Rhinolophus ferrumequinum: one gene and its partners. The protein of the gene in region 1 purifies or fractionates together with the protein of each later gene. This does not show direct contact. Links are inferred from orthologs where the notes say so. Each region holds a gene or a part of one and is shown in the gene's direction. Other genes may lie near its edges.

Region 1 (7,574 bases):
AAATTGAAGCAATCCACGTGTGGGGACAGGGCAATTACAGGGGCTCCTGGTGAGATGTGGCAATCTTTCCCAGCCCCCTCATTTTGCCCGACGACCACAGTGAGGATGGGGGACACGGTGACTTAGTTGGAGAAGCACGACCTGATTAGGCTCTCCAGCCACCAGGATGTGGCCTGGCTGGGGCAAAGGAACCTGGGCCACCACCCACCTGTGGCTGCCCAGCTTTGTCTTCAGTCTCCAGTGTTATAAGGCCACACCACTGCCGATATCTGTCTTTGAGAATTGTAGGCGTGGCAGAGAGCTCCAGAGGCTGGCTGCCAGCTAGAGGGCCCACAGGGATGGGCCATCCCGTCCCCCTAGGGTCAGTCAGGTCAAGGATCTGCTGGGTCCCCCAGGGTGGAGCCCGGGCTCTGGCTGGAGCCCAGCTGGCTCGTGGCCACTGCAGTGAGAGCGCTGGGGTAGGCGAGGCTATAAAAAAGAGCCTCCCTCCTCCATCGTGGGGTTCATGAATCACCAGGACTTGGGGGGGGTGCCGACATCATCATGACACAGCAAGAATCTTACCGGCCCAAGGGGGAAGACAGCCCAGCAAGATCCTGAGGAGAGGGAGGGGCTGGGGCTGCCAGGTCATTCCTTGCACAGGCCCGTCATTGGGATGGGTTCTGAGCACTCAGTGAGCCCATGGCCCTTGTGGTGCAGGTGGGGAGACTGAGGCCCCTGCAGTGAGCCAGTGCTGCCCAGGCAGAGTCGCAGTCCTATCTCTTTCTCTCACCCCCATTTCTCTCTACATCCCCTGGAGGGAAGCATCACTCCAGTCTGGCCGAGGCCCCATCAGATGGGGGGAGGACATAATGGACCAGGCCCAAGGTTCCTCCCCTTGCGCTGGTCTGTAAGGAGAAACTGGTTGCTTTCATTCCAGAGTTTTCTAGACTGGGACAGTAAGTACCTCCACTCCCTTTCTGCTTGGGGGTGGGAATCCTGAGATGGGGAGAAGTGGCTATATAGTGGGGGGAACAGAGAACAGCAAACAGCCCCAAGCCCATTGGGTAAGTCTGTGAACCAGCATTGTGATGCCCCCAGGAAGGAAGCTGGGTGTTCAGAAGATGGTTGGGTAAGTGAGTGAGGGAGGAAGGGGCAGAGGATGGCCACATGGGCTCAGCCTGTCCCAGGGTGCCCATCAGCCACTGGGCAGTGTCTGCTCTTCCCTTGGTGTAGAGTCCTCCCTGGGCCCTGGCTCTGCAGGCCTTGCTCTGAAGGCCCTCCTCAGGAGATCTGTGTGCTGGGGGGAGGGGGGGCTGGGGACACAAGGGCCCGTTTGTGTCTTCTGTCACATGCGCCACTCTGAAATCTTACTGGGTTGCTAACTCACCTTGGGTCCCAGTCCCCCAGCACACAGGTCCCATGAGGAGGGCAGGGCCTGTGTCACTGCACTGCAGAGGAGGTACTCAATCGCCACTTGATGCCTGAATAAGCAGAGAACTAACTGGTTTCCCAGAGAACCACCGTGCCTACTTTCTACATGGAGGGAGCAGGCATGGGAGGCCTGCTTCTGGGAGCTGTTCTAGGTGCTGCCTGAGCATGGGAGGCCCGCCTACCCCACTCCAGCCCCCTTGAACTGCAGGATGGAGAAACAAACAAGGAGGCTCTTCTTCGGAGGATCCCCTCCCCACAGCCTGTCCTCCTCCACTCCACCGCACTGAAGTGGCACTTCCCACTTCTGCTCTGAAAGCTTCTGTTTGTTGCTCTCAGAGCAGAGGGGAGCAAAGGGGAACCTCACCAATTGCAAGAAAACAAAGTTGCCCAACCCCAAGCTGGCCACAGAGGAAGGCAATGATGAGGAGCTACAGAATCAGCTCGGCAGAGCCCAAGGAAGCCTTGGCATTTGCTTCAAAAGCCCTCATTTGCTACATGGAAACACAGAGGTTCAGAGAAGGGAAGACACTTGCCCCAGGTCACACAGCAAGCTTGGATGATCTCAGTGAGATGTCTAAGAGTTGAGGGTCTGGAATTGTAAGCCATTTATTGTGGCCTGGGACGCTCTATTGGGGCATCCTGTGACTGGAGGGAAGGAAGAGAACTAATCCTGAGTTACTTTCTCCTCCAAACTATTTCTTGGACAAAGGGCCTAATGGTCAGAGTCCTTGGTGTTAAGGTTTGTGGCCAATACAGGTATGGCTCCTCTAAGGGGACCAGGCTGGAGACAAGGTGGACGTCACATCTGCCCCCTGTGTGCTGCTACTGTGTACTCCCCAGCCGTGGACTTACGGGGAGCCAGAGGACAGTGCTTAGTGCAGGCCTTCCCTCCCTCCCACCGGCAGAACCTTTCTCCCCCACTCTGCCTCCCTCCCTGCATTCTGGCTCTCCTTTTCCAAGTTCTAATCAGAATCCCAAAGTTGGCAGGGGGCAGCCTCTGCAAAGGACAGTGGCACGCTGATACGTGAACAAAGAACCAAGGTCCTCCAGAGTGAGGGGAGCATGATGTGGACGGCACAGAGAGACCATGCCTTCCCCGTCAAGAGCTGACTAGTTTGGGTAGAACTCTCCCTCAAGATTATACAGTAAGTTATGGGTAAAAATGGTCCTGCGATGCTTAGCAGATGCTTCGTCACATTCAGGGTTCAACGTGAAAAGAGAAGGCCGCTTTAACTTCGACATGAAGCCCTGGCAACTCATCTCACCAGGCCCTGCACACATCTTGCCGCCTGGCAGAGATCTCATTTCCACATGGTACACCGGGAGGGGGCCTTAGTGTAGGGGCCATGGCCTTTCCTATCAGAGCAAAATGGCAGTGCCACTGGCTAGACAATGGGGCAGGTCACAGCTCCTCAGCAGGCCTTGGAAGTTGGGGCAAAGAGACAGTGTTCAAAGAAAGGTTGAGTGTTTGTCCCCAGGGAACTTGACGTGGTAGAGAGACAAGGTGGAGATTGGGCCTCAGATCCTGCCTCTGGAACTAATTGACTGTGTGACATTTGTCAAGTCACAAACAAGTTTGAGAAAGATACACACAGAATGAATAGCCTCCCTTGTTTGCATCTCAGTTTTCCCCATGGAGGAAGCAATCCAATCAGACAGTCCCTAAGGACCTTCCAGCTCCAGGACATGGGTCTACATTCAACGGCTCTGCAGGTTTCAGAAATGCCTCACAGTGTGTGTATACCAGGTGTGCTGGGTGATAATGGCACACGAGCAGGAGTAAGAAGGAGAGTCTAACTGAGCTGAGCCTGTGTGGCCCCACGGCAACCAGTTGGGAAAGCTCAGGTACCCAGCAGGAAGAGACCTTAAGCAACTTCACACTTTTAAGATGTGGGGCCTGGGGGAGACTCACCGATGCACCCATGATGATGAAGATATGTGTATCGGACTGATGGAAGGCATCACCCTGGTACAGCTCTTCCCGCAGGATCCCGCACACTTGGGTCCGGCTCAGGGCCACCTGCTCTGCCATGATGCTCTCTGGTGAAAGAAAGACTTGTTGACAAGGCACGAGAACAGAAGAGCTCTGAGAAGATGGCCCCTTTCTTCAGGGGTCTTTCGGGCTCTCACTCAGCTGAAGTCTGATTATTCGAAACCACTGGCTGAGAATGGGGGGAGGTAGGATGGTTGGGGGGTTAGAAGCTGCTGGCTCTGAGCTCCGGCCATACTCCCCAGGAAGCCTTCTTTCACAGTGTACATTACAAAATTACTCAAAGCACTAGTGGATTCCAACGAGAGTCTCAATTCTGAGGAACTGGGTAAAAAAACCCCTGCTGGAGCATCGCACGATGCTAGTTTCATCTCAGCCTGGAATCAGGCGGAAACCCCACAACAAGCTGGAGCATGTTAGACCCTGCAGCTCCAGTCCTCCTCCTACCAAGCTGGGAGATCATGGCAAGTCCCTGCCCCTCTCACGATCTCAGTCTCCTCAGGGGTCCACTGGAAAGCGTTAAGACTCTCTGATTTTACCCGGCTCCCCAGCATGGCAAATCGAAAGGCCTCGCGGCGCAGCACACCCCAACACCGGTGTGGCGCCCGCCCACTTCGTTACCTGAGCTTCCTGTCCGCCTCTGCCAGTTGGTCTCTCAGCCCCGGAGTTCCCGGACGTTTCCGGGGGCTGCGACCCGCGGGTCCATTTAACCAGCGGGGGCGGGCGCCTGAGCTGAGCTGACCGCCTCAGGCGAGGCGCGCGGGCGGGGCCTCCATGGGCCCCTCCCTCGCGGGGGGCAGGGCAGGTGCGCGCGCATCTTAGCCTCCCCTCCCGCGGAGTCCCCTCCCTTGGCCCGCCCCATCCCTTGGGCACCTGGGCCGGCCGCTGCCTGCTGTGCCCATCGCCGCTGTGTCGCGTCCCCGATGCCTCGCGAGTCCGCGAGCAGCTCTGCGCCGTTCGCCCACGTCTCCATAGCCAGCCCTACCCCGCCCCTACACTCTGATTTTGCCCCTCCGCCCCCGGCGGCCCGGCGCCCTCGCGGAGGGCTCACTTCCGCCGGCAGTGTGGCCACGCCTCCTCGACCCCCATTTATGGGCGGGGCCGTCTTCACCCCGCCCCCTCCCGGACCGGTCAAACCTGTCCTGCGAGGTAGCCTCTTCGTGGCTCCTCCCCTAGCAGGGGCGGGGCGGCCGAGCGCCCGGAGGCTGGGTGCCACCGCTCAAGAGACAAGGGGGAGTGTGGGTTTGACGCCCCGGAAAGTAGCGGGTGGGGAACATCACTGGGGAGCGTCCTGCGGGCCGGCCGAGGGTGGCGGGCTCAGGCTTCCCTTTGGAACAGCTTCCCTCACATCTATTCCCGGCCTCTTTGGAGGGGCGGGGCTTGCGTGTTTTACTTCCGGATCCCACAGTTACGACACCGGAAGCCGGAAGTGGGAATTTCGTGGGGGAGAAGGGAAGAGCGACCGCGGAACCGGGACTTTCTCGGAGCGACGGGGCCCGAGGAGCGCTCGCGGCCCGCTGCTCCCGCCCTTCTTACGTCGGACTGATTCTGCTGAAAGGTGTGGTCCTCTTCCCCGAAGACAGGGTACCATCGGTGGGCGTTCCGCCGCCTCCTAGATTTCCCCCGGACGTCTAGGCTTCCCTCTCCTGTTGGGCCCAGGTCCGTTTCTGCCACCCGCTTCTAGAGTACTGGCCCAGGCGGGCCGATGCAGGACCCAGGTTGCCTTGGAGGCGAGCGGGACTGTTTCCGCTTGTCCCTCCTCCGCTGCCGCGGAGTCTGACCACACCCATAGTTCGTGGATGACTCTTGTAGTTCGGAGACATTTTCTGTTCAAACTTGCTTGTGTGTGAGGTGGTTAAATTCTTTAAAAAGACCTCAAATAGAGTTGGCAGCTAAGTGTCTTATCTCATGTGCCTCCGTTTGTTCACTTTTCAAAAACGATTCATGTCAGCCCGACCTCATACCGTTTGTGTGACTTGAGGATAAAAGGGCCATCATGGCATGTTGGAAGAAGAGCAAGGAGGCCATTATAGCTGGAGCAGAGTGAGTGAGGTACTTGGAGAGGAAGCAGTAAGGGATCAGATAGTGCAGGGTCTTGTAGGCCATTGTAGGGACTTTGGCTTTTACACAGAGGGTAATGAGGAACCATGCATGGTAGAGATCTGATTAGAGGAGGGACATGATTGGAATTACCTTTTAGGCGGATTGTTCTGACCGAGGTGGGGAGAACAGACTGTATGGGGCAAGGGTAGGAACAGGGGTGACCTGTTAGGAGGTTGTTGCAGTAATCCAAGTGAGAGACAATGGTGCTATGAGCATTTTATTATGAAAAATTACAAAGACGTACAAAAGTAGGAAGAAGAGTGTAGTAAATCCCATGTGCCCACCTCCCAGCTTCAACAATTATCAACTTGTGGCCAATTTTGTTTAATTTATACCTTTTACAATCCTCTCCCATTACTCTTTTTAATGACAGCTTTATTGAGATATAATTCACATACCACACAGTTCACCCATTTAAAGTGTACAGTTCACTGGTTTTTAATATATTTAGAGTTGTACAACCATACCCACTAATTCCAGAACATTTTTATCACTCCAAAAAGAAACCCTGCACCCTCTAGCTGTCACCCCATCACCCCATCTCCCCCGCCTCTAAGCATCCACTAATCTTTCTGTCTCTGTGTATTTGCCTATTCTGGACCTTTCATATAAATGGAATCATACAATATGTGGTCTTTTGTGAGTTGTTTCTTTTTCTTAGCATAATGTTTGCAAGATTCATCCATTTTGTAACATGTCTAGATTTTGATTATTCATCAGTTGATGGACATTTGGGTTGTTTCCATTCTTTGGCTGTCATGAGTAATGTTGCTGTGAGCATTCATGTATGGACATGTGTTTTCATTTCTTTTGGGTATATACCTAGGAATTTCCCCATTACTTTGAAGTGGATTTCAGACACCATGCGTAAATATTTCAGTATGCATCTCTAAGAAAGGACTGAAAAAAAAAAAAAAACAACCACAATACCATATCCCACCTAAAATAGTTAACATTAATTGCTTAGTGTCATCAGATCGATTCTGGGATATATTTTGGTAGAATTTCCTGATGGATCAGATGTGAGCTGTGAGAGACAGGAGTCAAGATGGACTCCATGGTATTTGTCCTGATAACGAGAGGATGGATTTGCCATCAGCTGACACGAAAGAAGGCTGCGGGACCTGGCTTTTGGGAACTGTCGGGAACAGTTTTAGAGAGATTAGTTTTGAGAGGACTCCTAGATTCCAAGTGGAGATGTTGAGTTTGATATGTGAGTGTGGCGTTGAGGAAAGAGGTCTAATTTGGGGCATCATTGACATTAAGGTGGGGGGTTAAAGCCATGAGGCTGGATGCTTAGTACTGGTGGGACTGGACAGAGAAGAGAAGAGATCCTAGAACAGAGCCCCGGGGCATCACAGTGTGAAGGGCTGGGTTACCAAAGAGGATTCAGTGCATGGCACCGAGCACAAGCAGCCAGTGAGGTCGGAGGAAAACTAGGAGAGGGCTGTCCTGGGAGCTGAGGGAGGAATCCGTGGTTGGTCAGATGCTGCTGATGAGTTAGTGGTGTGTTCAGTGTGGTAGTCAAATGTCCAAGTTTATCTGTTGTGAAAGCCTCCCTCAGCTCAGGCCTCAAAACTTGTATTGAGAGTGGCCTCCTCCGCCAGGTAGTCAGTCTTCTTGGGCAGGATTGAAAAGGGCTCCAGGCTGGTACTGTCCCTCACGGCCCGCCTCTCCTCTGGTTCACAAGAGAATGGGGACAGCTCAGCCTGTGTCTCTGCCCCACTGTCTTAGGCTGTCAGCCCAGCTCCCACTTGCCGATTCTAAAGCAAAAAGTCAGATACTGGATTTCCCTTTTGTCCCCTCAGTTCCAGGGAACATTCATCAGGGTCTGAGTGGTCTCCTCGAAATCCTTCTTAGTAGGTGCATTAATTTTCTGGGGCTGCTGCAAGAGATTTATTCTTTCCCAGTGCTGGAGGCTGGAAGTCTGAAGTCAAGTGTGGGCAGGGCCGTGCTCTCTCCAGAGGCTGTAGGGGAGGGTCCTTCCTGCCTCTTGCAGCTTCTGGTGGCCCCAAGTGTCCTTTGGCCTGTCGCCACTCCAGTCTCTGTCTCCACCTTCGTATGGCTT
Region 2 (7,594 bases), on another chromosome or scaffold:
CTCCTTCTGGGTGCCCAGGCCCAGCGTCTGGGAGAACAAATTCCGCAGGAAGTCCACTGGCCAAAAAGAAGAGAGGGGGCGGCTGAGTGGGTGTCAGCCGGGGTGCACAGAGGCCCTGAGTGCCCCTGCCCCAGCCCAGGGATCCTCTGCCTTCCCACAACTCAAGGCTCCATGCCTAGCCCAGCCAGGGGCTTCTAGGTGCTGGCACAGAACCATTATTACATACCTTGAATGAGGTGAGGCATGTCACCCAGACCCCTGCCCTACACGGCCCCCCACCAGAACCGGCCTCCCAAGGAAGATACTCACTCTCCGCTTCTCCGCCAGCTGCTCCTCCCTCAGTGTCTGAATCTGAGTCCTGGAAGGGGTGGAGGTGGGGTGGCCAGGCCCAAGAAGTGAGGTTAGGGAGTAGGGGGTGGGGTGACAACCCAGTTTGGGAAAAAGGCCCTGGCTGGGAGGTGGGCCTGAGGAAGTGCAGGGCAATGGAGGAACAGCTCTGGGGGGCAGTGTGGGGGCTCTGGGACAGGCTGCCTGTGCAGGGGACCTGGCCTGTCACTCCCAAGGAGCATAATCTCATGCGAGTGATTTCATTTTTCTGAGTCTCCGGGGCGCCTCCTCTTGGAGATGGAGCTCAGAGGGTTCCCCTCAGGAGACTGTTGTGAGATGAAATGAGTTACTGTGTGAGGTGCTCAGGACAGCACCCCGCGGGGTAAGAGCTCAGGAAGCGTTAGCTGTTGCTATTTCATATGCCACGTCCCTATCCTCCCCCTGTATCTCTCCTTGTCCCCTGTAGTGTAGGCTGCTGCCCCTTCGCAGCACCCCGCAGCCCTCCTCACCAAAGGCACTTCATAATCATGGAATAATGCCGGTGAAAACACCTCGGTCCTCACCCTGCGTCTGGAAGCCCCAGATAGCCTTTGCAACCTCTCCATCTCCTTTATCAGCTCTGCGCATTGGCCAGGCTCCCAAATTGCAGGTCTTGGAACTCTGTCTAGGGCTCTCCCTGCTTTGTCTCTCCACCTTCCCTGGGCGAGCTGCCTCATCCATGTCAGTGATGATGCCACCTCTCTGTCCCCTGATGCAGGGTTCCCATGGCCTCCTGGAGGCTTTCCCCTAAGGGGTTTCAGGCCCCTCACTCCCACTATGTCCCAACCTGGCCTCAGCATCTCCCCCAAGCTTGCTCCTCCACCTGGGCCCCATCCAGTGTGGCCTCCCACCTCCTTCCCCTGCCCTCCCACCATATTTGTCCCCTCCCCAGGGCTCTACCTGGTCCAGTCTGTCCTCTCCCCACAGAGGCCCTTGTCCCAGCCTCCTCCCTAGGCTGCCAGCCTTAGTCTCCACCTGCAATCTACTCCATGACCCTCCGCATGATGGCCTGTCTGGGACGGCCCACTCCCCTCCACGGTCCAGGCCCTTCTCTTTGGTGTCTCCAATCTAATCACATGATCACGGACATCTACAGGGTCCACCATGAGGTCAGCTCCACGAATGCAGGTGTTTTTCGTGTTCGCCACTGAATGTCCAGCACCAAGAATAGGGTCTGACACCTGGCAGGAGCTCCAGAAGTATCCACCACTGAATGAATGGATACCTGCTGTACACTAGGCTAGGGCTGGGCCCTGCAATGGATCCCGTGTAAACGCAATTCTCACCCACTCACTCTCCTGCTTAAAACTCCTCCAACAGCTCCTCTCCCTCATCACACACTATCTGGTTCCAAGTCTTTTTGAATCGGAACCTCCCTCCCAAACATTGAAAATTTTTTATCGCTCTTTAGATTGTATAAGCTTTGTAAAATGTCTGACTATTAGACAATGTACAACTTGGGGCACCTGCCTCATAATTCCCACTGCCAGTACCCCGTTGAGATAACCACTATTAACAGTACAATGGTAATTACTTCAGATTGTTTCTCTGCATGTAAAACTCAGTATTTTTCCAGAAAGGGGTCATACCATAGCACAATGCAGCACCGTGCATCTTCTGCAGAACAAGATATTATAGACCCACCTCATTCTTTTAAGCAGCTGCTTAGTGGTGCATTGTAAGGAGGCCCCATAGTTCATTTCACCCATCTATGGACAGCCACTTGGGCGGTTTCCAGTTTTGCCCCATATGGACAATGCTGCAATTTACATCCTCAAGTCTCTCTCGTTGGGACTGAGGATCCTTTTTAACATTAAACCTTTTCTCTGACAGTGGTCCTGCTTTGGGAGCCAGGCAAGGGAGAAGCCCTGGCCTGAAAGGAAGCTCTTATACCCTCTGCTGTGAATCTATCTGTGAGGTGCTTTAACCACAGCTTCTGCACTGCCTACATCTGAACTGCGATCTCGCGGCTGTGGGGGGCTGGCATTCTTTCAGGCCACAGACAGTGAGGCTCTGTGGATAGACTCAAGGGCCCTGCCCAACACACGGGAGCAACTCGGCCTAAGCGGGAGCTGGAGGTACTGGCAGGGCCTTCAGGCCTCTGTCTGGCAGCCTGTCTACCCCTCTCCGAAGCATCTGGAAAGCAGTGTGCTGGGTGCTGTGAGTTGTAAGCCTTTCTCTGCTCTTCTAGCCAAGGGACAGAGGACAGGATACTTAAGAACTCTGCCTCAAATTCCTCATCGATAAAATGACCACAATAGGACTTGACCCCCACAGGGATGCTGGGAAGATGAAATGAGATGATGCCCATAAAGTACCAAGCAGAGTACCCGGCTGAAGTTAAGTACTCAATAAATGCTAACCATGCATATAATTAGCTGACCACCCCAGCCAGTGCCTACTGCACACATCACATTCTTCCATGCTCCCAGGTCTTTGCACGAGCTGTACCCTCTGCATGGGACACCATTTCTCACTTTGCCTAAGAAAATTCGAAGTTGCTCTGCACATACTACGATGTGTCTCTACTTCAATCTGACCCCTAGACCAGCCTGTAGATTCCTCCAGGGGAGGGACTGGCGGGAATCTCTGGGCTCCCACAGTGCCCTGAGCTACCTACACAATCACCCCATAGGGTCATTTTCTAGTCACTTGTCCATGAGATCTGTGAGTTCAGGGACTAAATTGGATGTCTGACTCCTCCAGGACCAGCATAAATAAGGTTCAGAAGGGAGAGGGCGGGCAAGGAAAGAGGAAAGTTCAGGAGGGCAGGCCTGGGGCTGAGGCTGCACCCCCTTCTCTGACAGTCCCCTGAATCCACAATTCCTCAGGAGGCTGAACTGGGAGGTGGGGCAAGGGGTTGGGGTAGTGAGCTGAGGGCCCTGGGGTAACTCTCCCCTCTGTCCCCTCCCCCCAGGGGAGTGGGATGTGGGAACAAGTGCATCTCTCTCCTTCCCTCCACCCTTCCCTCATCTCACCTGAGCCTCCTGCACCTTCCCTGCCTGGGTCTCCAGAGGGTCAGAGGCTGGGGGAGGAGGGGGAGCACATGTGGTTATAGTGGAGGGAATCGTTAAGGGGTTACGAAGGGCTTCAAAGCAGGGGTTGGGGCCGGGCAAGAAGACCCACCAACCTAGTTATACTGCGGTAGAGGGTAATGGTAAAAATGGAGTAAAAGGAAGAAGGGGATGGGGAAAAGCAGAGTGGAGAGTGCCGGGAAGAGAGGTGGTTAGTGAGGGGCAAAGGAGCTGGGACAGGAAGGATTAGGAGAGGAAGGAGAAAGTAAAGGATATATGGTATAGAGGAAACCTTAGGAGGAGTTAGGAAGGACATAGTAATAGTATGTGAGCGTGTTTGCAGGGAGGGTTAGGTTTACAAGCAGAGATAAGTTTAGAAAGAAAGAGAGAAGAGATACTCCGACTGGAGGTGGATGTGGGAGACGAGGTGCGCTGGGGATGGTATGTTTAAGAGAGGCACAGGAACTAGAGGGAAGAGATAGGAAGGGACACCAGGGGTCCCCTAGCATTCTACAGTACCCCCTAACAATCGGGTACCCTTAGCAACCGGGACCGCGGCAACCTAAGTCCTTAGCAACGAGGGTCTTTGGCAACCCAGGTGCGAGAAACATGCGATCGTTAGTAACTTGGGAGACATGGCAAACGAACCCTTAAAACCTCGAGACCCAGAAACCCACAAACCTAGCAATATGGATCACTTAGGAACGGCCCCCCGAACCCCACTCCTCCCCAGGCAGCCCCAATTTCCTGCCCACCACGCCCGCCCTCGGGTCCCGGGGCCTGCAGCCCTCAGCCAGGCCCCGGCTAGGCCCGACCCTCCCACCGAAGCCCCCGACTCACGGTCCGGCTCGGCCATGGGCGCGGGGCGGGGGCCCTCGGGGCTGTCACCGACTGCTCGGTCCCGTGACGGCACCGGAAACAGGAGGAGCAGAGATAGGGTAGAGAACTACAACTCCCAGAAGTCATCGAGGACGCATACACGCTTTCTCACAACCTCGGCGCGCGCCCCTCTTAGGTAAAGCTACAGGCGAGCCGGACTACGAGTCCCGAAATGCCCAGCGCCGGCAGCCATGTTGGTAAAGGGCGCCCGGAAAATATGAGAACGGGTCGAGAGAGTACATCTGAATACTCTGATTGGTCACGGTGTGGTATGGGGCGGGGCTAGAGCTATTTAGCCCACTCTGATTGGATGAGCCAGGGGGGAGTGTTGGGGAATTCCCCGCAGGGCGGAAGCGCCAGTGCTCCAGGGAGAGCCCAGAGACAGGCGGGCGGCCGCGGGGGCCCCTGAGGCTTCGGGGGCCATGGCCGGGGTCGCGTGCTTGGGGAAAGCTGCGGATGCCGACGAATGGTGCGACAGCGGTTTGGGCTCTCTGGGTCCCGACGCAGCGGCCCCGGGAGGACCAGGACTGGGTCCGGAGCTGGGCCCGGGGCTGTCGTGGGCACCCCTAGTCTTCGGCTACGTCACTGAGGATGGGGACACGTGAGTGAAACTTAGGCTGCCAAACCGGGCTCTAGGATACGACATCTGATTTCCTATTAGTCTCTATCTCGGCTTCCCAACCTCTCCTAAATCTGACTTCTGATGCTTGACTTATTGATCTGTATGTAACCCACAGGTCCTAACCTTTAAAAACACCAATCTACTATCCAATTTTGATCCCAACGCAATAATTTCTGACCTCCTTTCTTGAACTCTGGATCTCAGAGTTCCACATTCCTATCCATTGATCCCAAAACTCTATTTGGTTTTCCTGACCCCAGTTCTGAGACCTTTATTAGAACTGTAGCTCAAGCAATCTCCTTCTGACCTTTAACCTCTCCAAATATGGTCTTTGATCCTTAGCTCCTGATTTAGGAGCGTTAGACCTTGATTTCCAAAATTAATACTTGGTCTTTGACTTTAAGATCCCATCTTCTGTGCACTAATCTTTACATCTCATATTCAAAGAGAAAATGTAAGCTCCATGGTAACAGGGATTCATCTGTTAAACAAATATTTGTGGAACACTACCATATTCCAAGCCCTGTTTCAGGTGCTGGTGATAAGACGGTGAACAGACAAAAATTTACACCTTATGCCCTGTAGAGTGTACATTTGGGGGAGAGGGGTATATAGACAGAAAGACTGACAGAAAGATAGGAGGAAGGAAGGAAGGCAGGGATGGAGGGGAAAAAAGAAAAGAAGGAAAAAAGGGAGAGAGAAGGCAGGAAAGAGGGGGAGAAAATAGAAAAAGAAAGAACAAAGAAAAGGCAGGAATAAAAAGAAAGTAAAGAAAAAGACACAAAATAAGAAGGAAGACAGGAAGAAACAAAGAAAACCAGAAAAAGAAAAAAGAAAGACAGGAAAAGGTAGGCCAGAAGATAGTAAGTTCTTTGGAGAAAAATCAAGCAGGAAAACGAGACAACCAGATTACTGGGGAAACCACTCTGGGTAAAAGAACAATGTTGGAAAGGCCCAAGTGAGGGATTGTACCTGGGGTTTTTGTGTGTTGTTTTCTGCTGTATCCCCAGTGACTGAACAGTGCCTGACCCATAGGTGGCACTCAATAAACATTGATCTCAAAGAACCCACTTGGCTTCATTAATTCTCTAAGTCTCTCTCTCTCTCTCTCTTTCTCTCTCTCTCTCTCTCTTATTGATCTCTGTTCTGACTTCCATTATTTTCTTTCTTCTGCTTACTTTGGGTTTAATTCTTCTTTTGCTAATGTCTTAATGTGGAAGCTGAGGTCATTGATTTGAGACCTTTCTTCTTTTCTATTATAGGTGTTGTGTGCTATAAATTTCCCCGCGTATTGCTTTAGCGGTGTTTCACAAATTCAGACATGTTGTGTTTTTATTTTCATTCAATTCAGCATACTTTATACTTTCTCTTCTGATTTCTTCTTTGGCCAGTGGATTTTTTAGAAGTATGTTAGTTTCCAGATATTTGGAAGACTTCCCAGATACTTTTCTTTGATTGATTTTTAATTTAATTCCATTGTGGACCTAGAACATAACTTTGTATGACTTGAAAGTTTTTACATTTATTAAGAGTTGTTTACTGGTCCAAAATATTGTGTGTGCACTTGAAAAGAATGTATATTCTGATGTTGTTGGGTGTAGTGTTCTCTAGCTGTCAATTAGAGGTCATGTTGATTTATAGTGTTCCAGTCCCCTATAGCTTTGCTGACGATTGCTGTCTACTCGTTCTATCAATTATTTAGAGACGGGTATTGAAATCTCCAATAAGAATTATGTATTTGTCTATTCCTCCTTGTAGTTTTATCAGGTTTTGCTGCATATTATTTGACACTCCATTATCAGGGGCACAAATGTTTAGAATTATTCTGTCCTCTTGATTCATTGACCTCTTTATCATTATGAAACAGCCTTCTCTATCTCTGGTAATATTACTTGCTCTGAAATCTACTTTGATATTAAAATACTTCCTACTGCTTTCTTTTGACTGATTGGTGTTAACATGATATGATATAGCTTACTCCACCTTTTATTTTTAACCTCTTTTTTAATATTTATATTTAAAGAGTGTTTCTTGTAGGCACATATAGTTGGGTTTTACTTATTTGGTCAATCTGACAATTTCTACCTTTTAATTAGAGTGTTTAGACAATTTGCATTTAATTATTGATATGGTTAGGTTTGAGTTTATCATATTGTTACTGGTTTTCTACTTATCTCTTCTTTGTTTCCCTTTTCTTTTTCTCCCTTCTTTTGGAACAAGTACATGTTGTCCCATTATATTTCTTTTGTTGGCTTGTTAGCTTTAACTTTATGTTTTGTTATTTTAGTGGTTTCTCTGCAAGACAGGGATGGCAAACTCTGGTCTCGAGGCAAAATCCAGCCACTTACCTGCTTTTGTGTAGCTGTGAGTTAGGAATGGTTCTCACATTTTTAAATGGTTGAAAACAAAAAAAAGAAGAATATTTTGTAGCCAGTGAAAATTATATGACATTCCAATTTCAGACTCCATAAATAAAATTCTGTTGGAATATAGCCCCAATCATTCGTTTCCATGTTGCCAGTGGCTGCTTCCACATCACCACAGCAGAACTGAGTAGATAAAAGAGAGAACACATGATCCACAAAGCCTGACATATTTATCTGGCCCTTTACAGAAAATGTTTGCTGACCCCCGCTTTAGAATTTATAGTGTGGGGAGCAGCCGGTTAGTTCAGTTGGTTAGAGTACGAGCTCTTAACAACAAGGTTGCCGGT
Region 3 (7,192 bases), on another chromosome or scaffold:
TGTGGAGCAACAGAAATTCTCATTGTTGGTGGGAATGCAAAAGGGTACAGCCACTTTGGGAAACAGTTTGGCAGTTTCTTATAAAACTAAATATACTCTTACCATGCAATCCAGCAATTTTGCTCCTTGGTATTTACCCAAAGGAGTTGAAAACATGCCCACACAAAAACCTGCACATGGATGTTTATAGCACCTTTACTCACAGTTGTCAAAATTCATAAGCAACCAAGATGTCCGTCAATAGATGATGGATAAATAAACTGTGGTACATCCAGACAATGGGATATTATTCCATGCTAAAAAGAAATGAGCTATCAAGTCATGAAAAGACATGGAATAACCTTAAATGTTTACTACTAAGTGAAAGAAGCCAATCAGAAAAGGCTGTATGATTCCAACTGTATGACATTGTGAAAAAGACAAAAATATGGAGACAGTAAAAACACCATTGGTTGCAAAGGGTTGGGAGGGTGGAAGGATGAATAGAAGGGGCACAGAGAATTTTTAGGGCAGTAAAGATACTATGTATGATACCATAATGCGGATACATTGCCATTCAATATATATTTGTCTAAACCCATAGAAAGCACACCACCACAAGGGAACTATGTAAACTGTGGCCTTTGGGTGATTAACTATGGCCTTTGGGTGATTAAGATGTATCAATGTAGGTTCATTCATTGTAACAAATATACCATCTGGTGGGGGACGCTAAAAGAAGAGGCTATGAGGGCAGAAGGTATATGGAAAATCTCTGTACCTTCCCCTAATTTTGCTGTGAACCTAAAACTGCTCTTAAAAAAAAAAAAAAAAAAAGGAGCCTTAACAAAAACAAAAAATTTAAAACCATCCTTTAACAGTATTTGGCATAGAACTTGGCACAAGGTAGACATGCAATAAATATTTGTTGATGATTGAATTAATTAATTAATTGATTAATGGATTTAAACAAGTACATAAGTTCTTGCCACGGATGATTCATTGTGAAGGAAGGATGTGAAATACTAGTGTGATGCTTAGGTACTATTCCAAAGATGAAATCAAAATGGGAAAGTCCCCCTAATCCTTTGGGAGATGCCAGCAAGAAGGGGCTGTAAGGGATGTGGAGATCCTGTGTCTGAGAGAGGACGGAGACGCCTCCACACACAGGCTGTGTCAGAGGCCATGAAGGCTGCTGGTGTGGAATCATGGTAGGAAATAAGCAACGCCATTTAAATCAAGACTCCTGTTTCCTTTCCCTCTGCTGTAGACAGAGCCCAAGACCTGCAGGTTTTCTCCTGCACTGGGCCATTGAAAACCTATCCAGGGGCCGGCCTGGTGGCTCAGACGGTTGGAGCTCCGTGCTCTTAACTCCGAAGGCTGCTGGTTCTATTCCCATATGGGCCCTTAGGCTCTCAACCACAAGGTTGCCGGTTCAATTCCTCGAGTCCCACAAGGGATGGTGGGCTCTGCCCCCTGCAACTAAGATTAACATGGCACCTTAAGCTGAACTGCCTCCTGGATGGCTTAGTTGGTTGGAGCGTGGGGCTCTCAACCACAAGGTTGCCAGTTCGATTCCTCAAGTCCCTCAAGGGATGGTGGGCGCCCCTTGCAACTAGCAACGGCAACTGGACCTGGAGCTGAGCTGCACCCTCCACAACTAAGATTGAAAGGACAACAGCTTGATTGAAAAAAGTCCTGGAAGTACACACTGTTCCCCAATAAAGTCCTGCTCCCCTTCTCCAATAAAATCTTAAAAAAAAAAAAAAAAAACCTATCCAGATATAAAATAATATGTCACTCTGGCATTTTTAGTTAGAGTACTATCTATAGAGAGATTGGGTGAAGGGAAAAAAATCTATGAGTCAGTTTCAAGGCTTGTGTTTTGAAGATTACATCAATGGATTTCCATAGAATGAAACCACAGCTTCCTGCCAATTGTCTGGATTCACAAAGATCTATGTCACTTTTAAATAATGAGGAAGAACTCCCAAGTATATTATCTATAGACATGCATGAACATTTTTTTTTTTTTAAGGAGGGCGCAGCTCACAGTGGCCCATGCAGGGATTGAAGCGGCAACCTTGGTGTTATCAGCACCACACTCTAACCACCTGAGCTAACCGGCTATCCCCTTGACATGCATGAACTTTTAAGGGGCATTTAAAAGCCAGCTCTCCACTCTGTTTTTCTCCCATCTTTATATAAATGGTTGATATATAGAAAAGGAAGCTATATTGCTGTTTATTATATATGTGTGTGTAATTTAAGTCTCACAACAATCCTTTGAAGCAGGTACTATTATATCTTCCGCTTTTTACAGATGTGGAAATTGAAGCTGAGAGGTTAAATAACTTACTTAAAGTCATACCACTAATAAGTGGCTGCATCAATATTCAAATTCTGGGCAAATTCTAAAGATCACATTCTTGCTACCATACTATTATGCCCCATAGAGAACCACAGAAGTGAAATTGCATAATAAAAATATTAACATTTGGTTGGGAGGGGAAAAAGACTAGTCATAAAAGGTAATGTCAGCCGAAGGTAGAGGCTGGAGTGCGGTGAATGCATAGGTTATAAAATTGCTAGGTGGAAAAAAGGATCTGGCCTAGAATGAGATAAGAAAGGCGCTTGTCTTAGGTGTCTTGGAGTCGATAGGAGAAGCAAGGGAGGAGGTGGGACGCCCCTGATCAAATTGGGAAGGATACTCACAGGGTACATAGGTACCCACTTTAACCCGTAGGCACATACGAGAAGCTATATCAGCAACACCTTGCATATGGTAGACTTAGAAAAAGGAAGTCTGTTGAATCTCAATTTTAAAAGACTAGAAACTAGACTCATAAACTAGACCAATAAAGACTGGAAGACTTGATTTCCATAATTGGTCCATGTAGTTAATAGACTCAAAATATTTGTTCAATGATTGAGGACAAAACAGAAAGGCACTGGAAGTGACTGGGAAAAATTTACCAAGGCAAACAGTATGAAAGAAGCTTTTGCATTTGCAAGGATAATAGCTATCGGTTATTATTCACTATGTATGAGCCAAGCAGAATACGTGCTTAATATACATCAACTCCTTTAAATCTGGTAACCACTCTATATATACTATATTTTCAGTCCCATTTTAACAGATGAGACAGAGAATTAAGTCACTTATTCAAGGTCATAAAACTAGAATCGAGCAGCTTTTTCTGGACCCAAAGGTTCTGCAGTTCGCCATTATACTGCATTCTGAACTCCGAATTTACACTGTACACCAATGGCTTGTACTAGAATGTGGTGGAGACTGTATGGGGCATCTACCTCCCCAAAAGTAGAAAATTTGGGTGTCCAAATTATTGCTACCAAAAATCCTGCTGTCCTGTGGGATGAAAAAGCTGATGCACGAGAAATTGGGCCAGGAAGCCTTGTGTCTGGGTAATACCTGGCTGGTCACACTTTGTTAAATTGCTTGCTTTTGTCCCAAACGACCCTATAGTTTTCAATGGGACAACGACCTTGAATATTGCTAAGCTTGGGAAAACGAGCTTAGGTGACGTCTGCATTTATCTCATCTATTCTGGACCCTTCCAGGGGAGGATATTCTCTCTAAGGTTGCCTGCTTTGATTTATGAAGATTGTGGGTGGCAGTCTGACTTGGAGGAAACCAGGCGATTCCTGCTAAAAACAATCACTTCCAACATCTCATTCGTTTTAAATAGGCCACAGCCTAGCTAACAAAAAAAAAAAAAAAAGGCATAAATTTCGGGCAACTTCCATTAAGTATCCGGATGCCTGGCATCACTTCTCTTCACAACGCACACACACCAATCCCTGAAACCAGGAAGCCTCCGCTGAGGTTGCCCAATGCGGGCGCTGGTGGCGTCGCCCTGCACACTGAGTCAGCGGAGCGCGCCCCGGGAGCAAGCGGCCAGGAACTGGAGAGCTGCGTGCTCCCGTGTTTGGCGTGAGGCAATCCTCCTCCCACGGTCTCGGGAAGCCCCGACGCCACAGGCTTCCTCGCCGTAGTGGAGCCGCCTCGGCGTAGTTCCTCCGCGGCTTCCTCCTACAGCGGCAACCACCCAACCCTTCCTGCTCCGCCAGGACTCCACCTCCCCAGGTTTGAAGCGCGCGCCTCACGGAGCGCGGAGCCGGCAGAGAGGGCCAGGGAGGCGCGCGGCTTGTGCGCACGCGCGCAGTGGGCGGCCCCGCCCCCGCCTCCAGGCCCCGCCTCCTCGGGGCGGCTGGGGCGGCTGGCGCGGCCGGTCTGCCCGGCTCCTCTTTGCAAACCTGTCTCCCGCGGGGCGGGGAGCGGAGCTTCCTCATCCGAGTGCGGTGCAGCGCCGCCGAATTAGTCCTTCCGCCCCCGCCGCCGCGGTGCCCAGGCGAGCGAGGGGGCGAGCGGAAGGTGCGCTGGAGCCGAGACCCGCGATGTGGCCCGCGGGAGCAGCGGCAGTGGCGGGGTCGCCGGCGCGGGACATGTCGCGGTGCGTGGATCTGCTGCAGGCCCTGGCGCCCCTGGCCTCGCAGCCGCCTCCGGCCGCACCCTCGGGGCCGCCGCTCCCAGCTCCGGCCAGCGCGACCCTCAACCGCCTTCCGGAGCCGCTGCTGCGGAGGCTCAGCGGGGTCTTGGACCGAGCGCCCGAGGGCCGCGGTTGGAGGAGGCTGGCGGAGTTGGCCGGGAGTCGGGGGCGCCTCCGGCTGAGGTGAGGCGCCGGGGGGGTGGGGGGGGGGGCGGTGCTCAGGGGTGGGGTCACGTGGGGTGGACTTGGGCTCGGGGCGCGAGGGCAGTGTGGGGGGGCACCCTGGTGGGAGGGTGGACCCTGATGCTGGAGAGCATCGGGGCCATGCGAGACGGTGCAAGGGCCGCTGATGTGGAAGGAGGAAAGGACGTGGGGACAACTCCAGTCATCTTCCAGAAAGAGAGAGCCTTCCCCCAGCAAAGCCCTGGGAATATTGGAGCTTGGATATTGAACCCCGGTGTTCACACCCTTTTCCGACGCTCCCCCCCGGGAGCTGACAGAGAAAAGTCGAGGTTGACCTAGGAGTATATTGAGAGGAGGAAGGCTGTCAGGAGAGCGTTGTGACAGGCAGTGACTCGGAAGGACTTCAAATGCAAACTAGCGGGACACGGGCACAGACCTGGAAGGCCTGAGGAAGGTTAGCGAGAAGTGCATGCAGGTAAAGAGGTAATGGAAGAGTTTGGGGTGCAGGAGTTCATGATGGTTTTTATGTAGGGAGAGGGGGATGGTGGAAAAAACAAACTGAACTCTCCATCTTCCTCCATCAAACCTACTTACCAAGTCCTTTTCACGACTTCGCTATGAACATGTATAAGTAAAACTATTTTCCTGCTACCAGCCTTGGAACCGCTGTGCTAGTGGTTCTTGAACTTTTGGTCCCTGGACTCCTTTAAACTCTTAATTATGAAAACCCCAGAGCGTTTTTAATGTGGGTTCTATGTATTCCATACATATAATATATACTGATATTTCCCATGTTAGAAATTAAAACTAAGAAATTTCTAAAATATTAACTTCTTGAAAAAGAATAACCCATTACATGTTAACAGAAACTACATGTGGAAAAACAAACTTTTCCAAAACAAATAGTTTAGAAAACGCACTGTTTCACATTTTGAAAATCTCTTTAATGTCTTGGCCTAACTACGGAGGGCTGGCTGCGTTTATGTGCCTCTGCATTCAGTGTGTTGCACTCTCACAGATTATGTAATGCCAGACACTCCAATGTACACTCCTGGCAGAGTGAATGAGAAAGATAAATGACATCTTAGTATGAAAAATCATTTTGACCTTCTGGGTCCTGTGAAAGGGTCTCAGGACCTGCATGAGGGTTTCCCAGATCACACTTGAACCATTACTCTATATCATTGGCATGATTTTGGTCTGCCTTTGAACCCTTTAGCAGTTCTTTTAACTTCTCATGTGACTAAGCTTTGTCTTGTACTGTAATTATTCATATACTTCTTTATAAACCTGTTGCGAACAGGAACCATAGCTTAAGAGTGTATCATGCATAGAAGTTATATTACACACTCTATAAATACTTTTGAATTGAGAGGGGAGACATTCACTCAAAGTTATAGTTATTGAGTGCCTATTATTTGCTAGAAGTTCCAGAAGATAAAAAGAAGACAGATATTTAGTTCTTATTCATAAAGGCTAACTCGTAATGAACTGTCATTCTGGAACAGTCACAAATAACATGTTAAGTGCTATGTTGGGTGTGAATGATAGTAACAAATGTTTATCATTTATTAAGCACTTAGAATAGACCAGTGTACTGTTTGCATGGATTATCTACTTGAACCCTCACAACAACCTTCAGTTTCAGAGTTTGGGGTTAAACCAGAATCTGGGAGTATTTGGCCACACAGAGGAGTAACAATAGAGGATGGGATCAAGAAGTTGTAAACTGGCAAAGATGAGCAGACAAATGGTATAATTTTTTTCTGTTCTAGGAAATTGTCCTTTTGGCTACGGAAAGAGAATCCAAAATACTATTATTCTAGGTCCATAGATTTCTGAATTTCTAGACTTACAATAATGTGAAAAGTTGTTTTCTTTGGGGGTCAGACCACCAGATCTGTGATTAGTTAACTGGTGCTATTAACTAGTTCTGTAGTTACTGAAGGCTCTGGCCTTTCCTAAACAGGGAAGGGCCTGGTAGCAAGGGCTCCTATTTGTGATGAGAGAAGAAAGTAAGGCCCTGCCACTGAAGAAGCATGGCTGATGGAATCTAAGAGTAGTGGATACCCCAAGCCTTCAGTGAGGTTTTGTTAAAGGCTGTAGAACTGTGTTAGCTTTCTTTGGGGGAACTAACAGAAAATTCTGAACTCACATTTCTAGTGAAGCTAGTATAGACAGAAGGGCAGTTGCCTACCAAGAAGTGACAAGCAACAGAAGGCGTGCATTTGTGGAATCTGGGAATTCCAGCGTGGGAAGTCTGATAAGAGAGGTGGAGTTTCACCAGTCTGCTAGGATGCTGAGGGTTATAGTTCATAGTAGGTTAGTTGTGGTGAGAAGAGCCGGGGCACCCTGAAGGTTGAAGAATTGGGGGACGTGAAGCTCATATACCTGTTGAAATCGGGATTAAACTGACATAACAAAAGGTTAGCACTGGGAACTTGGGGGCTAGAGAGGGACAAAGGAGGGGGCAAGGAAAGCTGGTGATGCTTATTCTGTTTAAGACAAAAAGTTATTTT
Region 4 (8,000 bases), on another chromosome or scaffold:
CCCTGGCAAATTGTAGTGGGGGAATATAGGTAAAGATAGCAAAATCGGCACAAGAAGGCTGAGTCATTAGAGAGAGGTCTGTGCACTCACATGGGCTGATTGAATCTGCTTCCAAGAGGTTATACATCAGACAGGCAGGGAAAAGAGGGGTCTGGCCTGAGGCTCAGACAGGCCAAGGATTTCCAGTGCCTTCACCTGCCCCTTCCTGCTCCCATGTTTCGTGGCTGCCCACCAGCCACTCTGGGCAGGCTTAGTAAGAACACTCAGGCTATTGCTCTGTTGCCCAGCCCACATCCAGGGACGTTTTTGTCTTGCCAGGACCAAAAGATGCCACTACCAGGGATGTTCTTCTCAGAGCCAGATGCCCTGTTGGAATCGAAGGCATCTGGATCTGAGAAGGGAACGCAAGCATCCAACCCTAATCTCAGCTCTCCCTTCACCGCTCTGTGACCTTGGCCCAATCATTTGAACTTCCTGGGCTTTGGTTTTCCTAGGACTCAACTTCTCTCCACAGCCCCTGACCCTCACTCTCCCACCTCCCACACTGGCCACAGTGTTTTATAAAAAAAGAACTCAGGGTTCTTTGAGCTCTTTGGAGTGACCACAAAAATGCAAGGCATTATTAGCATCATTACTATTAAATATTAATAATGACATTAGCATTGTCTATTATAAGCCTGAAAAAGAAGCTCCAAGAGCCCTGGGTGGAAATGGCTAAGAGAATAATTAGGCCCCTCCAAGCCACCGACCCCTCCAGGCCCTCAGGTGAAATTAGGAAGGCAAATGCAGACAGAATACTGAGATGTCTCTCCCAGCACCCCCTGCTCAGTTCAACTTGGCTCCTCCTGGCCCCACACAAATCGTGCTCTTTCCAGTTCCCTACACCCCATGCCAGGACTGCATTCTCACCTCCACTCTGTCTGTCCAGCTCCAGTTCAAGGCGTGCCCCCCAACCCTGACTGAAACCTCACCCACCTCCTAGTGCCTTCTCTCCCCGTCATCTGAACTGTTACAGCAGTATTCTCCTCCATCTATTCACTCAGTCAACAAATATTTATTGAGTCTCTATTACGTGCTCAAGGCATTGTGCTAAGCAGTGCGGGGGCTTAAGGGGGCTGGGAAAATAGAGACATTAATGAGATAATCCTTACCTTCGGACACTGCACAGGGAATAACCATCAGTATTTTATTTGACACTTGGCTAAGTGCTTAAACCATCCTAAGTAGGAGTAGGATTATTCCCACTTTACTGATGAGGAAATGGATTCCCCCGTCAGTTAAGTATACTTTAGTGACCTACCCAATGTCATCCAGCTTGGAGTGACAGAGCTGAGACAGAGTCCAGTTCTCTTAACCACAAATCTGGGGCCACCGATTTGCAGCAGAGAAAGCCTGGCAGCAGGGCTCAGCCTCATAGTGTGTTTCAGATGGGGAGGCTGAATCCCAAAAAGTCCCAAAGGGAAGTACTGACGTTTATTGAGCACCTACTATGTGCTTGGCACTGTGCTAAATACTTCATGCATAGTTCAATGCTCACATCCATCAGTGACGTTTGTGTCTTAACCTGCATTTTCCAGATGAGGAACCTGAGGCTTTGATGAGGTAAGTGGCTTGCCCAGGGACACACAGCTCATAAGTAGCAAGACTGTGCACCAAGCAGGTCTGAGTTCAGAGCTTTGCCCAACCGGCTTTGTCACTCTTCCCTGAAGCTGCAGATGGACAGTCCTAGTAACGTTATCAGGCTGCTTCCAGAAAGATTACAGGTACTTTGAAGACAGACCACACCCTATAGCTCTTGAATCCCCTGATATTTTAGGTAGATGTTGCTCCATGACATCTGGTCATGGTCTCCTGGGAGCCATGGTCTCCTGGGACACATATGGTCTCCTGGGAGCTCTAGGAAAGGGGCTAAAGTCTGATGCCAAAGCCAAAGATGCTGGTGGATGGAGAGGGCAGGAAAGGAGGTATGAGGCTACAACTGATGCGGAAGATCCACATGGTCAGAGCCCTGGGGCCCTGGCAGGTCTCAGCTCCTCCCCACTGGCCCCTGGGGCCGGGCCCCATTTGGGGATCCACTGGACTCCTTTGCTGTTGATCTGGTGGGGCTGCCGGAGGAAGGAGCAGAGAGTCTCGGAAAGGTTGGGTGGCCCTCAAGATGCCTTCCGGGGGCTCCCGCTCCTGGGTCACCTCACGTTTCCAAGCAGGTTAATGGCCCATTTGATTAGCCACCTGATCATCTTGACTAGCCCTTCTCTGCCCTTCTTGGGAGACTGGGGGACTCCACTTGGGGATGAGGTGCCCCTCTCTAGAAGACAGGGAGATATATTGATTAGCCACGGAGAGCAGAGGTGCCTCTTATAGTCAACTGTCCTGAGGATTCTGGGATCTGGCAGGCACCAAAACAGAGGACACCATCCTGTCCTCTATTGTGCCCAGCTCAGACGAGCAGGCAGCAAATGCCTGAAGCACACAGCATCATGGTTAAACCATGGATGCTGGAGCCAGACCCGAGGTCTCTGCTTCTCCACTTGTTTACTGTTTACTGTGAGCAAGTTCCTTAATCTCTCTGAGCATGTCTGTAAAATGAGAAAAATAGCATCACATATCCCTTGGGTGGATAATTTAGGTAAAGCACTTAATACAGCTCCTGACACACTGGAGATATTAAGTTATTATTAATAGTTTATTCACAATTAATAATGAAATTATAAAATATTTTGGTTATTTTCAAACTCATGGACACCACAAGCAAAACTCAGCCCGGAGCCCCAAACACCCACCCCACTCTCTTGTCAGAAGCAGGAGCACCTTAGAGGCTGGCAGTGATGGATGATCCCCAAGAACCCCCAAAATTCATCTGTATCAGGCTCAGGTGAGAACTGCAGACAGGTGAGAAGATGAAACTTTAGCAAATGGCTCCCCAAATCCAAGACTAGGCCTAGTAAGCGCTCTCATTTTCACTTCCTGTGGCTGCTGGAGCCCACCTGGGGCAGGCAACCGGCTTGCAGTGGGATCTGAGAGACTCCTTGAGATCCACGTCACCTGCACTCATGGGGAGGGAACTGGGGCCTCGCCAAGGACCCAGCCCCCACCACGAGGGCAGCAGCTGTCTGAAAACAGTCACAAAGACAGCTGTCTCCATCTAAAGCAGGGGTGTCAAAACTGCGGCCCGCAATCCATTGTTAATTGGTCCCAGCAAATTCCAAAAATGTATTTAGTTTACTTAAATAAACCAGGTGAGGCAATACGTACTTCACCTCGAGTGAGTGGCCCGGCTGTTTGTGTATTTTACCGCGTATGGCCCTTGGTGAAACACGTTGAAAAATGTTTGGACACCCCTGCTCTAAATCAATCCGTGCATTTCCAGAGCCTTGGCCCCTGAGTCAGCCAATCCCCTGACCAGTCGCCTGATGGCAGCAGACATGCCACCCGGTCTCCCGGTAGCCGTTTTCTGCTTGGAGAGAACTCGAAGCCCTCTTTGCAGAGCCTGGGCTGACCTGGGTGGTGTCAGAGGGCACGGCTCACCTCAGGAGCTCAGGGCCCACGTGCCAGCCCCACAGGAAGACAGACAGAAAAGGACATTGTGGGCAGAGGAGGCAGGAAATGGAAGGTACGTAGAAGGGATTTGCACAGAGGCGTGCCAAGTCGTCCAAGACACGGTGGCACAATCAGATGTCTCTCCATCTGAAACAAAGCAGACTGTCTCCAGAGTTGGGAAAGCCCTTCAAGAGGGGAGTGGCAGGATGGGAGAGGAGGACATATCGGACTTGGGCAGGCATTCTGGGCCTTGGAGGCTGGGCAGCGAAACCTCCCTCACACCACATCTCCTTCTCCTTTTCCAGGCCCTCCCACTCGGGCCAGGATTGTCCCAAAACCTTGTGCCCTGCTCCACTCAGGATGACACATTGCAGTGCTCCAGGCTTGACAGGTACAGCCATTTAAAACTCTGAGGCTCGCCTGGCCCTGCCAGCTGTTTCAGCATCTGGACCGCTCACTGGTCTTGCCTGTGTGAGCTGGACAGCAGGTGGCCCAGAGGGGGATGAGACAACAGTGACAGCCTGATGGGGCTGACTGCTGCCGCAGATGGCTGGTCCCTCTACCTCCAGGCCCCAGCCTTTCTGGTCACAGCCCTCTCCCCATGACAGGAGAGATATTGCCAACCTGGGTGAGCATCTAGAATCTCAGAGCTGGCAGGCAACTGGCCATCATTAACCCCTTCGGTTTCCACGTGAGGCTCAGACAGGACAGGGTACGTAGCCTGGCACACAGCCCCTCAGTAGCACAGCCCAGCTTACTCTTCAGACATTCAGACCCCTAATCAAGTGAGCTTTTCGCGAATCACACTGCTGGTTGATTAAAAACAGGATTGGATCCATAAGTACTGATGTGGAAAGGTGTCCAAGATCTATTATAGTTAAGAAATATTCTGCAAATCATGATTTGTGATCCACTTTCATAAAACAATACTAATAAGCCATGTAATTATATACATGAAAATAATAAACCTGGAGGCATGTAACTCAAATTTGTTAAGGGACTTTCACTATTTTTAAATTTCCTCTAGTTTTACAAAGAGCTGTGTTACTTTTATAAGGAAGGGAAACAATAAAGTGAACATGTGGGGGTGGGCCAAGGAAGGAGCCCCTCCCACAACAAGCTGGGGATTTCTGATTTGCATCCCGCCCTCCAATAGGAGATTTCTGGGGAAACAATGAGTTTGGCTTCATGGGTCTCCAGGGTTTGAAGAGCAAGAGCCACTTTCTTTTCCCTGTGCACCGCACCCCTTTGCAGCCCCTTGAGCTCTGGGCTGGGCGGGGATGGGGGAGTGGGCAGGCCAGACAGCGCACCCCGAGAGCTGAGCTGCCCATGCTGCTCATGCATTACGGTGCCCTGGCTTGCTCCCTAGTCCTTATATGACAGCAAATGAGGTAAAGCCGGGAGGGTGGGGACGAGAAAAGGAGTGGGAGGGGGGCAGAAGGAAGCCATCTCCAGGGCCCCTTAGCGTTGGCTGAGGACCGTAGCCAGCCAGTGAGCGGAGCCTGGGAGAGGGAGGAGCACATCTTGATGCAGAGATGCTGCAGTGGCTCTGGGCGCACACACACACACAAGCGCCCTCACCCGCTGCCGCCACCACCGCCACCGCCACCGCAGCTGCCGCCACCACACCAGGACAGCAGCGAGCAGCTGAGGGAGCAGGGAGGAAAGGAGGCCGGCCCAGGGGGCTGGCAGCTTGCTGGCTCCTGCTCACCACCTCGGGCAGCGCCTGCCTGCCCCAGCCCACATCCTTCTTTCACCCCAGGTAGGTGCCAACCGCTTTTGTTTCCTCCCTTCCAGTGGCTCCCCAGGGCGCTGTTATGAAAAGGGGCTCAGAGCTCAGTGTCCTTGCAACTTGGGAGGGGCTGAGGCAGGGCGGGAACCTGGCTGGGTCCAGTCTGACTTCTCACCCCAGTCTGGTGGTGGCTGCTGGGAGTGGAGGTCCCCTCCGCCCTGTCTATGTGGGTGGCATCCTGCAGGGCCCTGGCAGGCCAAGCCTGGCCAGGAAACTGGCCCCCAGCAGTGTGTCCAGGAATTCAAGCCACCACCAGCTGACAGCAGCAACTGCCTGCAGAGAGGGCAGCGCTAGGGACCCTGCCCTGGGCCCCCAGTCCAGGACCAGAAAGTCCCTGAGGCCAGGCCCTGAGCCCTGGCCTGCCCATAAATGTCCCTGAATGGAATTGAGTCTGACTGCCCCGACTCGACTTGAGGTTGCCCTGCGTCTGCCTCTGCAGGGTGACCTCTTTGCAAAGTCTCGCTGCAGTTTCACAGAGGAGGCAGTGGAGCAAGTTTGGGCAAAGACATGTATAGGAGTGGGGACTCAGGAAGGAGAAACTGAGGCAAGTCACCTCCCTAAGCGAGAGCGGCTGGGACTATAGGGGCTGAAATTCCTTTTTTTCCCTTCCCTCCTCCCCAACCCTATCTTCTCCTCAAATCCCTGCCCCTCATCCTCACCGGCAAGAGAGAAAGATTTGCATGAAGTTTGGCTTTCCCGTAAGGAAAGGGGCTGGAACTAGAGAGGGGGAAGGGCACAGTTTAGGAGGTCTAGAAAAACAGGGCCAACCGTCTCCCCAGCACCATGCAGACCAGAGGTGGGGGAAGCAGCTCCAGCCAGAGCTGAATCCCACTGCCTTCTCCAGGAGGGCTTCAAGGTCTGGGAAGCAAAAAAGGGGGGTGAGATGAGACAGAGCCTGTGGAAGGAGAATCCTGGAGCTACACGGTACAAAGCCAGGGGTGCTTCAGCCACAGACCACTGAGGGCCAAGCCTGTGCCCAGGGAGGAAAAGCTGTCAGTCAAGGTTGTTTGGAGGGTTGAGAATCCAGACAGACCAGGATGGGATGGGCTGTGAGTTCATGGCCACAGCCCTGGAGAAGGACGGGTTTTCCAGGAGCTAAGTTACCTGCCCTTAACTTCCCCGACTCCGTGTCCAGCCTGCAACTGGTCAGACCCTACCACACTTTCCTTTCTGCTTGACTCCCCAGGGCCCCCAAACACCCTTCCCAGACCAGCCAGCATCCTTCTTCTGCTCTGAGGGAGGCGGCAGCAGGAATAGCCCAATACCCCAGTCTGTCAGTACCCTCGTGACCTCCTGGGAAGCGGTCTGATTCTTCTCCTACCCCTCAGTCCACTTAGCCACGCGGCCTCTCAGTTACACTCAGAGGGACCAGATGAGCCACTGAGGATCCAGGGCAGCAAAGGGTGAGGCCCCTGTGGGAGAGGGGTGTGACCTGGGCTCCTGGGGGGCGGGGCGCAGGGAGATGGAGCCCTGACTCCTGGCCTGGAAAGACAGAGTTCTGCCCTTAGAGACAGCAGCATCTAATCCCTCCCCAGGTTGCCACACCAGTTAACTCTTTCTAGCCAGGCTGCAGAAACATTCAAGCCAGGTTTTTGCCACAAGGTCAAAGTTCTTCCTATTTTCCTGTAGGATCTATCAGGAGTCCCCAGTCAGCAAAAGGGAGGCAGGAGGTGAGACAGATGGGGAGGGGGTCTCTGAGCCCATGACATCAATGTCACCAAGGTCCACCTGTCTTTCTGGTGCTCAGCATGACTCTCAGCATGCACTTTCTCTGTGACTCTCTCTCATTCTCGTTCATCCTCTACTCCCCACCTGGCCAAGCTCTCTCTCCCCTCACACTTTCTTGCCTGGTCAAATGTACTGCACCTTCAGCCCTCAACCTACCCCCACACCATTCCCGCTGCCAGATTTCACTTCTTATGTAACTCCATTCCAGCACCTTGTCTGTCAGCAGCTGTTCAAATAGAGACACATGTGGGATGGGCCTCTGCGGATGGTGTTCAATGGGATGGCTGCACATATTGCCTTTGATGGACCAAACGTTTTCCTCAGGAGCGAGTGCACGGGACAGGCTGCCCTCAAAGCGGCTTCTCTGAGGCCACAGGGGAGCAGCTCGTCTGGGGTGGTTTGCAGGGTGCACGTCTTCCATCCCTGTCCCAGAGCATCCTCAGACCAAATGTTTGCGAGAACGTTCATCTCAAAGACAACCTACGCCTGCGTGTGGGTGCTATTTGTATTTTTGAAGGGATTCCTAGGACAAAACTAGGGCGTTAGCAAGAATGGGCTGATACTCAGGGAAAGAAGAACCAGAGCGAAGAATATGCTCTGTGGATTGGAAACTGGAGGGATTGGAATTAGATTGCAGGAGGCATTTCCTCACTAGGAAGATGACCCTGAGGTGAGACAATCTTTCCAGTGACTCTAAAAGGCTGTAGAAAACTGGGGTCAGGTCTAAGGTTAGAAACAGTCCTGCCAAGAGATAGAGGTTGGGCTAGAGGACCCTGTAAATTTCTTCCAGGCTCAGGTTATTCTCTTTCAAATGGTAACAGGTAGGGGTTACTAGGAATATGTAAGAAGACAGACATCCTTTTCATTCCCTCAGGCCTGCTGGCCACCTCTCATCCTTCTGGACAAACTCCCCCTGCCCCCCCCACTCAGGGCTTTGCAAACC

The links.
Region 2: the proteins of IKBKG (region 1) and NFKBIB purify together in Homo sapiens (affinity purification with western blotting; 5 studies listed by BioGRID and IntAct, with this or other methods). This does not show direct contact. The link is inferred for Rhinolophus ferrumequinum from reciprocal best matches to the Homo sapiens genes IKBKG and NFKBIB.
Region 3: the proteins of IKBKG (region 1) and MALT1 purify together in Homo sapiens (affinity purification with western blotting; 4 studies listed by BioGRID and IntAct, with this or other methods). This does not show direct contact. The link is inferred for Rhinolophus ferrumequinum from reciprocal best matches to the Homo sapiens genes IKBKG and MALT1.
Region 4: the proteins of IKBKG (region 1) and CNTN2 purify together in Homo sapiens (affinity purification with western blotting, with the first as the bait; 3 studies listed by BioGRID). This does not show direct contact. The link is inferred for Rhinolophus ferrumequinum from reciprocal best matches to the Homo sapiens genes IKBKG and CNTN2.

The regions. Positions count from the first base shown.
Region 1 is NC_046284.1:6,116,179-6,123,752, reverse strand, and holds the start of IKBKG (NF-kappa-B essential modulator), read left to right. Parts: upstream 1-4,557; 5' UTR 4,558-4,961; exon of another isoform or gene 4,962-5,062; intron 5,063-7,574. Other genes in the region: G6PD (glucose-6-phosphate 1-dehydrogenase), read right to left, coding at 3,326-3,453, 4,277-4,376. UniProt on the Homo sapiens protein: Regulatory subunit of the IKK core complex which phosphorylates inhibitors of NF-kappa-B thus leading to the dissociation of the inhibitor/NF-kappa-B complex and ultimately the degradation of the inhibitor.
Region 2 is NC_046298.1:38,185,641-38,193,234, forward strand, and holds the start of NFKBIB (NF-kappa-B inhibitor beta), read left to right. Parts: upstream 1-4,592; 5' UTR 4,593-4,681; coding exon 4,682-4,860; intron 4,861-7,594. Other genes in the region: SIRT2 (NAD-dependent protein deacetylase sirtuin-2), read right to left, coding at 1-56, 310-358, 4,221-4,346. UniProt on the Homo sapiens protein: Inhibits NF-kappa-B by complexing with and trapping it in the cytoplasm.
Region 3 is NC_046302.1:47,376,659-47,383,850, forward strand, and holds the start of MALT1 (mucosa-associated lymphoid tissue lymphoma translocation protein 1), read left to right. Parts: upstream 1-4,177; 5' UTR 4,178-4,398; coding exon 4,399-4,673; intron 4,674-7,192. UniProt on the Homo sapiens protein: Protease that enhances BCL10-induced activation: acts via formation of CBM complexes that channel adaptive and innate immune signaling downstream of CARD domain-containing proteins (CARD9, CARD11 and CARD14) to activate NF-kappa-B and MAP kinase p38 pathways which stimulate expression of genes encoding pro-inflammatory cytokines and chemokines.
Region 4 is NC_046305.1:26,100,209-26,108,208, reverse strand, and holds the start of CNTN2 (contactin-2), read left to right. Parts: upstream 1-4,987; 5' UTR 4,988-5,064; coding exon 5,065-5,299; intron 5,300-6,515; exon of another isoform or gene 6,516-6,732; intron 6,733-8,000. UniProt on the Homo sapiens protein: In conjunction with another transmembrane protein, CNTNAP2, contributes to the organization of axonal domains at nodes of Ranvier by maintaining voltage-gated potassium channels at the juxtaparanodal region. May be involved in cell adhesion.